2 linked regions of the Arabidopsis thaliana genome follow. The protein of the gene in region 2 interacts with the protein of the main gene of each other region in a pairwise test. Each region holds a gene or a part of one and is shown on either strand. Other genes may lie near its edges. The genes, in order: CYCD1;1 and KRP6.

The links.
Region 1: the proteins of KRP6 (region 2) and CYCD1;1 interact in a two-hybrid assay, tested with the Arabidopsis thaliana proteins (2 studies listed by BioGRID, with this or other methods).

Annotation. Positions count from the first base shown.
Region 1 is NC_003070.9:26,437,804-26,443,665, reverse strand, and holds CYCD1;1 (CYCLIN D1;1), read right to left. Parts: upstream 4,111-5,862; 5' UTR 4,014-4,110; coding exon of another isoform or gene 3,870-4,013; 5' UTR 3,652-3,869; coding exon 3,379-3,651; intron 3,227-3,378; coding exon 3,140-3,226; intron 2,614-3,139; coding exon 2,515-2,613; intron 2,420-2,514; coding exon 2,218-2,419; intron 2,129-2,217; coding exon 1,992-2,128; intron 1,908-1,991; coding exon 1,686-1,907; 3' UTR 659-1,685; downstream 1-658. Other genes in the region: AT1G70209 (uncharacterized protein), read left to right, coding at 3,870-4,013. UniProt on the Arabidopsis thaliana protein: May activate cell cycle in the root apical meristem (RAM) and promote embryonic root (radicle) protrusion.
Region 2 is NC_003074.8:6,615,803-6,620,014, forward strand, and holds KRP6 (KIP-related protein 6), read right to left. Parts: upstream 2,150-4,212; 5' UTR 1,854-2,149; coding exon 1,560-1,853; intron 1,457-1,559; coding exon 1,401-1,456; coding exon of another isoform or gene 1,309-1,400; coding exon 1,132-1,308; coding exon of another isoform or gene 1,128-1,131; exon of another isoform or gene 890-1,127; coding exon 826-889; 3' UTR 528-825; downstream 1-527. UniProt on the Arabidopsis thaliana protein: Binds and inhibits CYCD2-1/CDKA-1 complex kinase activity. Regulates cell division which is crucial for plant growth, development and morphogenesis. May inhibit CDK kinases specifically involved in the G1/S phase transition.

The sequences.
Region 1 (5,862 bases), on a different chromosome or scaffold from region 2:
ATTGGAGGGTGAACAAATAATGTCGTCGATGGAAAATAAATAAATCACATTACTAAACTAATCAACTAGAATTATGAGGATGGAGACATTTTCTCGACGTGGGGTGCACTTCTGTCGGCACAAACCAACTTAGTTATAAGATTAAAACACACTTTTGTAAAATGTTTTGTTTTGCAGTAAGTTTTTTTCTTTTTCTTTCACTTCTTATTTCCTTTTTTACTTGTAAAATCGTGTGCATACATATATAAATGGATAGTCAAAGATGGTATTTTTGTGTGGCTAATGTTTGAGGGGTTCGAGAGAGATAGAACGGTGTAGCTACGTTATGGTTTCGTGGTGAGACCACTTTCTCTGACATGGAGACAGATCAACATCACATGTATGCTACTGCTCCTATTAATTGTTCCTCTTTACTAAAATCAAGAGAGAAATTAACCACTATTTTTTACTTCTTTTGTAATTTGTTTTTTTCATAATTTGATTTTCTTTTGTATATTTACTGTTGTTAAAATAGGTATATAAAACCCTTAATCTTTTGCCCAAAAAAACAAAAACAAAGAAATGTGTTTAATTATGGCAAAAATGAGGAAGGTTATTACATTTTGAACATTAAATACTTTTTTTTTTCTTTTGGTCTTAAACAAATACAATTTTCTTTTGTCTTTTTACGTTCGTCGTTCAATAAAACATACACTCGATCCACAACACACATGTTCACATGCTTCGTGCTCCCACAGGCCACACCAAAATCAAATCTCACCACTACTCATATTATCCTCTCACGTAGCTATTAACCTTCTCCACGACCATTATTGAGTTCAATGTACTTTTTCCTTCATATAATAGAAACGTTTTATTTATAAAATTCAACCTTTCAAGAAACCAAAAAAAAATCATATATATACACATACGTGACACCTTACACGCATGCAAACGCTACTAAAACGCACCGTGACAAAACTCATTTGGAGTCCACGAATACGTAGAAATCAAAAACACAAAATTTCCCGCCAAAATAAAAGATTTGAAGAGAAAACAAACACGTGAGACACACGCCTCCGTCACGTGAAGTCACACACAAGGAATCAAAAATCTTAAAAATCCAAACAAAAAAACAAATTATATATACTTCGCAACTTGATTTTTTTTTTGTTTGATGATGAAGCTGAGGAAGGGTCCCATGAACTGCTGCGATCCATTAAGACAAAGAGCTCAGAAAAATCTCCACTCACAAATCTTTTGCAAACGCTCCCCTGTCTTATCCATCAGTACCTGTGTGATGAGGACTCTAATGCAAATACTCTTCTCTCTCTCTCTCACACACACACACTCACATGATCATATCTTTTCTCTAACACGTGTGTGTTACACTCACTTACTCATTTTGCTTTCTTGGGAATCTGCAAAGCCATTAATGATGAGCTTCGTCTCTCCCAACCAACCAACCAACCCCAAAACCCAATTTTTACCCTTTCCATAAAAGAAATTGTAACCAAAACTCTTATTCCTTCCCCTTGGTTGGAAAACTCTTAATTACTTTAACTCAGCCAATAAACACTTTTACTTTTCTTCATCACTCCCTTATTACTATGTACTTGTTAAAAAATATACTCTACTTAAACAGAAGAGGGTTTTTTTTCTTCTAGGTTTTGTTTCCTTGGTCCTCTACTTTCACTCCCCAAATTTTAATTAGAGGTAGATGTTTCATCACCTACCCATGAATAGCCACTTAATTTTCTCCTTTTACAAGGAGAAGAGGATGAGAAAGAGGATTCATCACTTGGCCTTGTTAACGTCGATGATGCCCTTACACTCACTCGAAGCTTTGCTATCACTTTTGGTGTATTTAACCGGTTATTCTCGATGGCCATCGCTTTCATCAGTCTATAGCATCTCACTATCTTCTCCTGAAAGTCAAATATAACCAAAAGACATTAATTAGCAATCTGTTACTCCCTTGTTCCATCTAAACGTGATATAACAAATCCTACTTTGCTCAATCCGTCACACCAAGTCTCAGGGCTCTCGTGGGGATTGACAACAGAGGATAGAGAAGGTAACTCGTTCGCTACACAGAGAATCGCGGCTGCAGCTATACTCGATGGCCAGTACTCAAGAAAGCTCGCTTCTGTACTAATTGGTCATGTGTTAGAACCAACCCAAAAATGTGCTACCTAAATGACATTATGGATCATATATCATACAAATATTACGTACCTTTTATGTTGGAGAGTATAATCTCTGTAGCATGGGAGATAAAGAACCCGAGAAAGGTACCCGAAGGATCGATCTTGTAAGCAAAGAAGCTAATGAAATCAAACGGTGTAACCGATCTTAGTCTCCAATCTAACACACTTAGAACAAGAAGTTCCATTCTTTTTATAGTTTTTGCTTCAAATAAATACTTCACTCCTGCAACCTACATTACATTATACAGAGATACATAAATTAAAGTTTCTTAAAAAAACAGAGTAAATTCAGAATGTTAAAGAAAGAATGATAATATATGTTTACCTGAAAATCAAAAAGAGAAGGAACGAGAATTTCCTCCATCTTTGCAGCTAAAGACAAGCATGCCACTGCTAAAAGTTGCATTGGCCAACCACTCGTTTCCTATTTTACAGAAATTAAAGCTGATTAATATAATCATTGATTACTATATACTCTATTAAGTTTAATTACAAAATTAATTTAAAATATTATATAGTAGTAGGAGCGTTTTAACACTATGATTACAAAGTTTTCAATAAAGCCGATATATGAAGTGGAAAGTTTACTGCAAAAGTATACTATTATTATGTAAACGTCAATGTAATTTTTTATCGAAAATATAAATTTCAATAAAATAATTAAAAAACGAAAAAAAGTTCCCCAGCCCGCTCCTGTTCTATCGTTTACGTACATTCCAATATAAGATTAATTTCTACTAAATTATTCTATACCGATTATAATTTTTTGCTCTAATAAATTTTTAGTCGTTTTCATTTTTTTCTGAAGAAAAGTCAATAAACAAATCGATCCATTGAAAAAAAAAAAGGGAAATAAAACTGACTTTTTGGGGTTGTTATTTGTCATATCAATATAATAAAAAAACAGAGACAATAGAATTAACTAACGTTGACGTTTTTAAAACATTTACCGGTAATCGACGAGCGTAAAGAAACCGATCCATATAGTTAACGGCGAGGTACGCCGTTAAAGGCTGAAAGTTATAATACGCTTGTACCTGTAAACCAAACAATACCACACTACTGTAAAAAAAAAGATTCTCTGCATGTAACGATTCGATCAGCGTATTTTAGCGTCTACACACTCTCCGGCGGCGTATTTTAGCATTGAAAAAAATGAGAGGTAGAGAAAAAAAGTGAATAGGCTCGCCTTGAGAATCCATGCGACGGAATCTTCTCTAGCGGAAGCATCGAGAGATCGAGTTTGAAATCTAGAGAGATAATCATGTCCAGGAACGAAGTGACGCTCGTCTTCGATAAAACAAGCGATAGAATCACCAGGCCATGAATCAACCTCGGAAGACGAGAAATCAACCGTTGACTCACCGGAAAACACACCGGAGTCTTCTCCACAAAACAAATCCATATCGTTAGAGAATGAAACAGACATGTGTAGATAATCACTAAAACGGTAACTCCTCATTCTCTCCCCATAACCGGAGATGAATCAAACCGGAGCTAGATAAACCGGTGAGATCTAGAAGAAGCGAGAAGAGAGAAGTGAAATGTGAGGTTTTTGAATTTTGTGTGGAGAGAAGAGTGAAGGTTTAACACATTCATTTGTTTGGATATATAAACAAGAAACAGAGATTTTTTGAGGTTTTAATAATTTTTTATTTAAATGTGTTTTTATTTATAAAAATGGTGTTGTTGCAAATGAAACAGAGAGACGGTTACCGTTTCCGTTATGCCCGAGAAAACGGGACTGTTGTCACTGTTCCATCAATCGAGACGGGGCTGGTCCGTTCGTTCATTGGGTTTTGTTTTGAGTTTTTTTATTTGTAGTTTATGTTTGTGTTTTTTGACTAACATGCGCTAAAGTGAAATGCGTAGGTTAGGAACAAGGAGTGGTGTAATTACGTAATACGTGGCAGGTTAAGACGTTGCATGAGTGAGTACATTACAGCTAATGTACGTTTGTTTGCATATTACTCGTGAAGAGAGAAGGCCGTACGTGTAATGTATTAATTGGTGACGTGTAATGTATTACTTGGTGATTAGCTTAATGGGCCTGGATTATGGAACATTTTCTGTGATTTGGACCATTTTGTTGGTCGCTTAGAAAGAAACATTTTTTCGTATTTAAGATTTGGACTTTATTACTATTGGTTAAAAAATAAAAGCATCGAAAAATAAATCAAAATTTTACAGAGGTTTTAAAGTCATGACGCTTAATCATACGTATATATATAAGTATTTGATTTGCTAAAATGCAATTTTTTTGGTTATTGTTTGCTTTTTATGTGATTAGATGTAAAACTCCTGAACCATTTTAGGCACATGACAAATGCTCAATAGATTTGAGGCCATTTTAGATTCAATGATGATTTTTTAATCGAATGTAATTAATTGATGTTTTGCATTATAGTGCAATTTTTTTGCTGTTTTCTTGAATTAACCGTATGATAAATCAGTTTTTTTTTTGTAATATCAAGTGAGGGAAGAAGATTCCAAATTTTAAGATTGGTTATCTAATTATCTTGAATTATAAATTAGTAGTTTAATTGAGATTGGTTAATCAGAGGAAAGCAAACAGTGGTCTGGAGCGTGTGGGAAAGAGTAGTGGAAGTCCTTTTCGTAGAACCGGAGATTTTCTTCACATTCCTTTTTGTATCAATATGTCATATTTATTTGGTCCCTTCTTGGTTTAATTATGCCATAAAAGTGTTAAATCATTGGCCCGTTTTTATTAATCACTCCCGTAGTTACTTTCTTTCACGTGTGCCTTACAAAATACTTTGCTCCTTCGATTTAGATTTTAGACTTTAATTATACCATTGGGATGATCTCGGTTTAGATTGTAGTAGATTTTTCGCTTACCTCTAATATATTTACCCCTTATTTTAGTTTTCAGGTGTATTAGAAAAAATGTTTCATATTTTTTTTTTTTTTTAACATTGTTTCATATTTGTTTTGTATGTGTTTTCTATGCAGATTTGTATAAATTTGTCAATATTTTCATATTGATAAGAATTAAAAATTATGGAAGAGCTAATATATAACTATCACTTGTATGTACTATGTAAATAGTTGACAATGCTTACGTAGATAACGAAATTAACATTGAGAAAATTACAATTCAACAACTACATTGTACCATAGAAATTAGAAACAAATGGGATACTTTTTGAAATAGAAGATAATATATTTTTGGTATCTTCGGCGGAAGAAGACCTTCTTCATTATTTATTTGTTATGGCTAGGTTGGGCTACTAATTCATTTCTCTGTTTAGGTAGACAATATTTAAAACATATGGCTTACATTCAGATTTGCATTCACATTTACAGTTAAATTAACATTTTTATCATGCAGTATATGTTTATTTATATTAACATTAATGAAGTCAAGAAACTGAAATTTGAAAGGAGGGAAAATATGCACCTCCCAACCTACAACAATTTATCAGACTGACTACATTCTCGTGGTAGGGTTCGTCATTTTTGTTAATGTCTTATTTTCTTAAAGAAAATCAAGACGATTCATGGGAGCTATTGCCTTATAGTCAATGATCGTTGTTGAATGGTTATTTCAGATCTAATTATATGGTACGTATGATATCACTAGACATGATCTTATACTATCATCGTCACATTAATTGATACTACTCGTTAAGAAATGTTTTTTTTCGTTCTC
Region 2 (4,212 bases):
ATGCGTTACCAAAAAGCTAATCCACGTAAATATATCCTATGTAATCGTTTTTATATAGTATCACTCATTGATGATATTTTGTTACAGTAACACACTTCATTAGGATAAATTACTACTCCGCATAGGCCGCTTTTTGGTTTTATCTAATGAAGGCCAAAATGGTTTTAACTAAGTGGACCCTGTGTTTAGTGCCAAAATAGAGGAATATTCCAAAATAAAATAAAAGAATATTAGTGAAAAAAATAGAAAAAATATAATATTTGTATTTTGTATGATCGCAGTTTTTAGAGAAGTACAAACCAACTGTATTACTGTGCCGTCATGTCATGTACCTTTCCTCTTTTCTCCAATTTTTTTTTTAAAACATCAATTTTTGGTTTCAGATATTTTTGTAAATTGGGTACTATATGACATGAAACATTTAAATATAACATAAACTGCAAGTGTAAGAATAAGAATGACATGAGACAAACAAAAAATAATAGTTTTGAGTAAGATAAAATAATTGTAATAATTAAGCATCCAATGTTTTAAAAGAATCCAAACAAGAAGCACCTTTCTATATTCATGCACTTAAAACTCTGCCAAAACCATTTTTGATTTTAAAACAGAAACATAACAAACCAACGAAATCACCGTAATTAGTAGCCAAGATCCGAAATTTCATTATAAAGGTCGTGTTTTTTGTTTTGTTTTGTACGAACTAGTAACATAGGTTTTTAAAGAGAAATAGACTAGAGCTGTACAAGTGGAAATGTTAACCACGAAAAACAAAACCTATTTTTCTTTTGTCTTCTTCATGGATGGTATTTGCTTTTTGATGGCTTAAAGTCGATCCCACTTGTAGCGACCTTCAAGCGGTTCGTCATTGACAATATCGAAGTTGTACCTGTGCCAAAGTGTGTGTGTTCGTTAGGATTCTGATTCTCTCTCTTTTTAGGATATTTGCTAAACTACGCGTCGGTTAATCTTTTTATCATGCGCACGCAGACATTTTTACTCACATTCCTCTCTCTCTCTCTCTAGGTACGGACTCACTCCAATTTTTCCCAAACCCCAAAAAGCAAAGCGCACACAACAACAACAAGAACACACGTGAGAGAGATGATGAAATTGTAAAAATGGACTCACTTTTCTATGAATTGCTTCTTCTTATCGTCTTGACTCTCTAGCTCCGAGAACAAATCCTCAATCTCCGCCGCCGTTGGAGTCTTCCTCACCCCCGGTTGTTTTCTCTTCGTTGCCGATGATGATTCCATTTCTGTTGTCGTTTCTCCCAAACCCTCACTCACTGGACTCGTCTCTTTTCTGCCATAAAAAACAGAGAAAAAATCGCCAAGGAGAATAAAATCGATTGAACGTCTAATTTGGGGGGGGGGGGAAACAAAAAGATTATGAACCTGAAATTGCTGGTGATGAATGTTGAGGTTTCGGTTTCGGTTTCGATTTGATGATCCTGAAACACAGAAACGGAAATAAAAAATCAAAACGAAAACTGAGAAAATCGTCTGATTAAATCGATTCAAGTAGAGAGGAGTTATTTGATTTTGAAAATTCACCTCCAGATCTACACCAAACGACGAACTGTTCTTCGCGATTTCTTTCGATTCACTGGTGAAACAACCGGAGCTGATACTCGAGGACTGATCACTTTCTTCTCCACCGATGGTAACGGAACATTCATCAGACGCTAAAGCCGCCGACGAAGCAACGGAAGAAGATGAAACCGCGAAGACGATGACGTCATGAGAGTCCGGTGATGAATCAGAAGAATCATTAAGCTTCGTTTTCTTCAGTGGTGAGAAGCTTGTGCTTGAAGCTTCTTCTGCAAGCTCTCGCTTTCTCTCGCTCATTTTTTTCTCTCTTGGATTTTTGTGTGCTCTCTCTCTCTGCTTTTTTTTCTTTCTATTTCTGGTTCGCTTCTTAACAAAGCAGAGGAGATTTTGGTGGGGAAGGAGAGAGAATGAATCATGAGCCGTTGATTATTTCAACGGTTGAGATTTTATTTTCCTTGGTGAGCGGACGGAGGTTATGGTATATAACGGCGCCGTTACGGAGTTTCGCTTTTATTTTCTTACACAAACGCCGTTGAGATTCCCAAACGCGTTTTCTCTCCCTTTTTGCCGTTTTTGCCTTTTTGGCTTCCTTTCAAAGCAATTGAAAACGCAATCATTTTCGGTAGTTATGACGTAGTAGCAACGTAACAGTAGTCATTATTTTTTCTTAAAACGATTTAAAGTATGAGTAAACCACAACTCTATTTAATTCGATTTGTTTAGGAACAAGTCTTATTTGGTCAGGGTCTATGAGAACCATCGAACAAGTCTTTTCTCGTAATTGGGTTTTATATTTTATGAGAATCAATTAAAAGCTAAAACCAATGATGTGACATATATCGAGGGTATATATATGAATGGTTGAGGTGTGAATAGAGATTTGTCAAATTAGCTTGATCCCTTCCATTGTACGCGTTTTATCATGGTTTTGAGATGGATATGTTAACATCCAGAACATAGTGTTGAAATCTTTTAATGTTAAAACTATCACGTAATTAAGGTTAATCAACCTTTTTTGAAAAACAATTAGTTCATAAACTTACTTAGATGGTCAAATATCATAAGCAATTAGACAAACTATTCCTTACAATATTTCAAATGAAGATACTAGCTATAATTACACAACAGAAGATACATGGTTAACCAATTTATAAAATACTTAGAAAAGAATTGTGGTGGTCGGAACAATAAATTAGAGATACCTATAGCAGAAGATACATCGATTAACTACATTCTATAAAATCATCTGTACTATTATATATGTTTGTCGGAACATGTCTAGAAGCGCCTCGTTAATTTACGTTTAAAACAATACTATAATTTTGTTACATAGTCAATTTTGTAAGAACCTACATCTTATAAACCAATTATACAACTTTTTGGTTCGTATCATCACCAAGACCATGAAATCAATGACGAATCAAATAATGCTTGAATCTGGAAAGGGAATAACAGTTTGGGGTTTGCTTAGTAGAAACATCAATTATGTCATATAGAGACTAACTCAGCTTAAGTCTAATTAATCTCTTGTTTATGCTTAGTTGTCTTTTTGAAAGTTTCCATGCATGTGTAAGTTTCTTCCACTGATCAGATACACATCAACAACAGATTTTGTCCTCTATGTCATTTTAATGACATATGTATTATGAAATAATGTACATGTGTTAAAACCATAATATAGCACCATAGAGAATGAGCCATTAAAGCTCAACTAAACTGTCCGTACAGTTAAAACCAATTGTAAACAACTAAACTCAATTCTCGTCTTAAAGAGCCCATATATGTATATATATATACAAAATGGCCAGAACGGTTTACAAATTTAAGCATATACTATAATTAAATTTTAGTGTAACTACTTCTTTATTCTTCCAATAAATGGGACCATTTTCAATAAATTTTAGTAATAAAAGGAATCATCGAGTAATAATTAAGTGACTGATGCAACAACGAATTCGCTGACCTAGGCATTTATTTAGGAATTATTAAGACAAATCAAGAGGGAATGATATAATTCAAAATAATTTATTCAGTGACCATTGTAATCCATATGATCATATATAGTCCTGAATAGGGTCGTCCTAAACTTTTAAAAAAATTGATAGAACTTTTCAATAAAAATTTCGCCTATCATTTCAAATCTTTTCTCATTTGTATGAATATATAATAACACTATCAATCAATAATCAAATATTTTTTTGTTACATTGTTGATTAGCTAGTTAGAAAAATGTAAAGATAAGTTGATTTTGTATGTTAAGATAGTTTCTATGTCACTTCCTACTATTAATTTGTATGTTAAGATAATTTTTTACTATGTAGAAAACTCTATGTCAAGATTAAAATAATTTTGACTGCCAAGAAAATTTTGATTGCAATACTTAGATATAAAAAGAAAAAAAGTGATTATAACTAGTACTCGTAACCAAGTATGTTTTATTAAATATCGTTTCACGATCCGAATTCAAATCCGATAAAATACAGGTTATTAGAAAGAAAAAAAATGATATTCTAACGAGATAATACACTAATATTTATTTAATAGATCTTCCATGAAACAAAAGACCGGATTAAACCCTAAGAATCCCTACAATATATCTTACACATACATGACCATAACGAAATTACATGAATCTTGATTCTTGAGAATTCTGTAC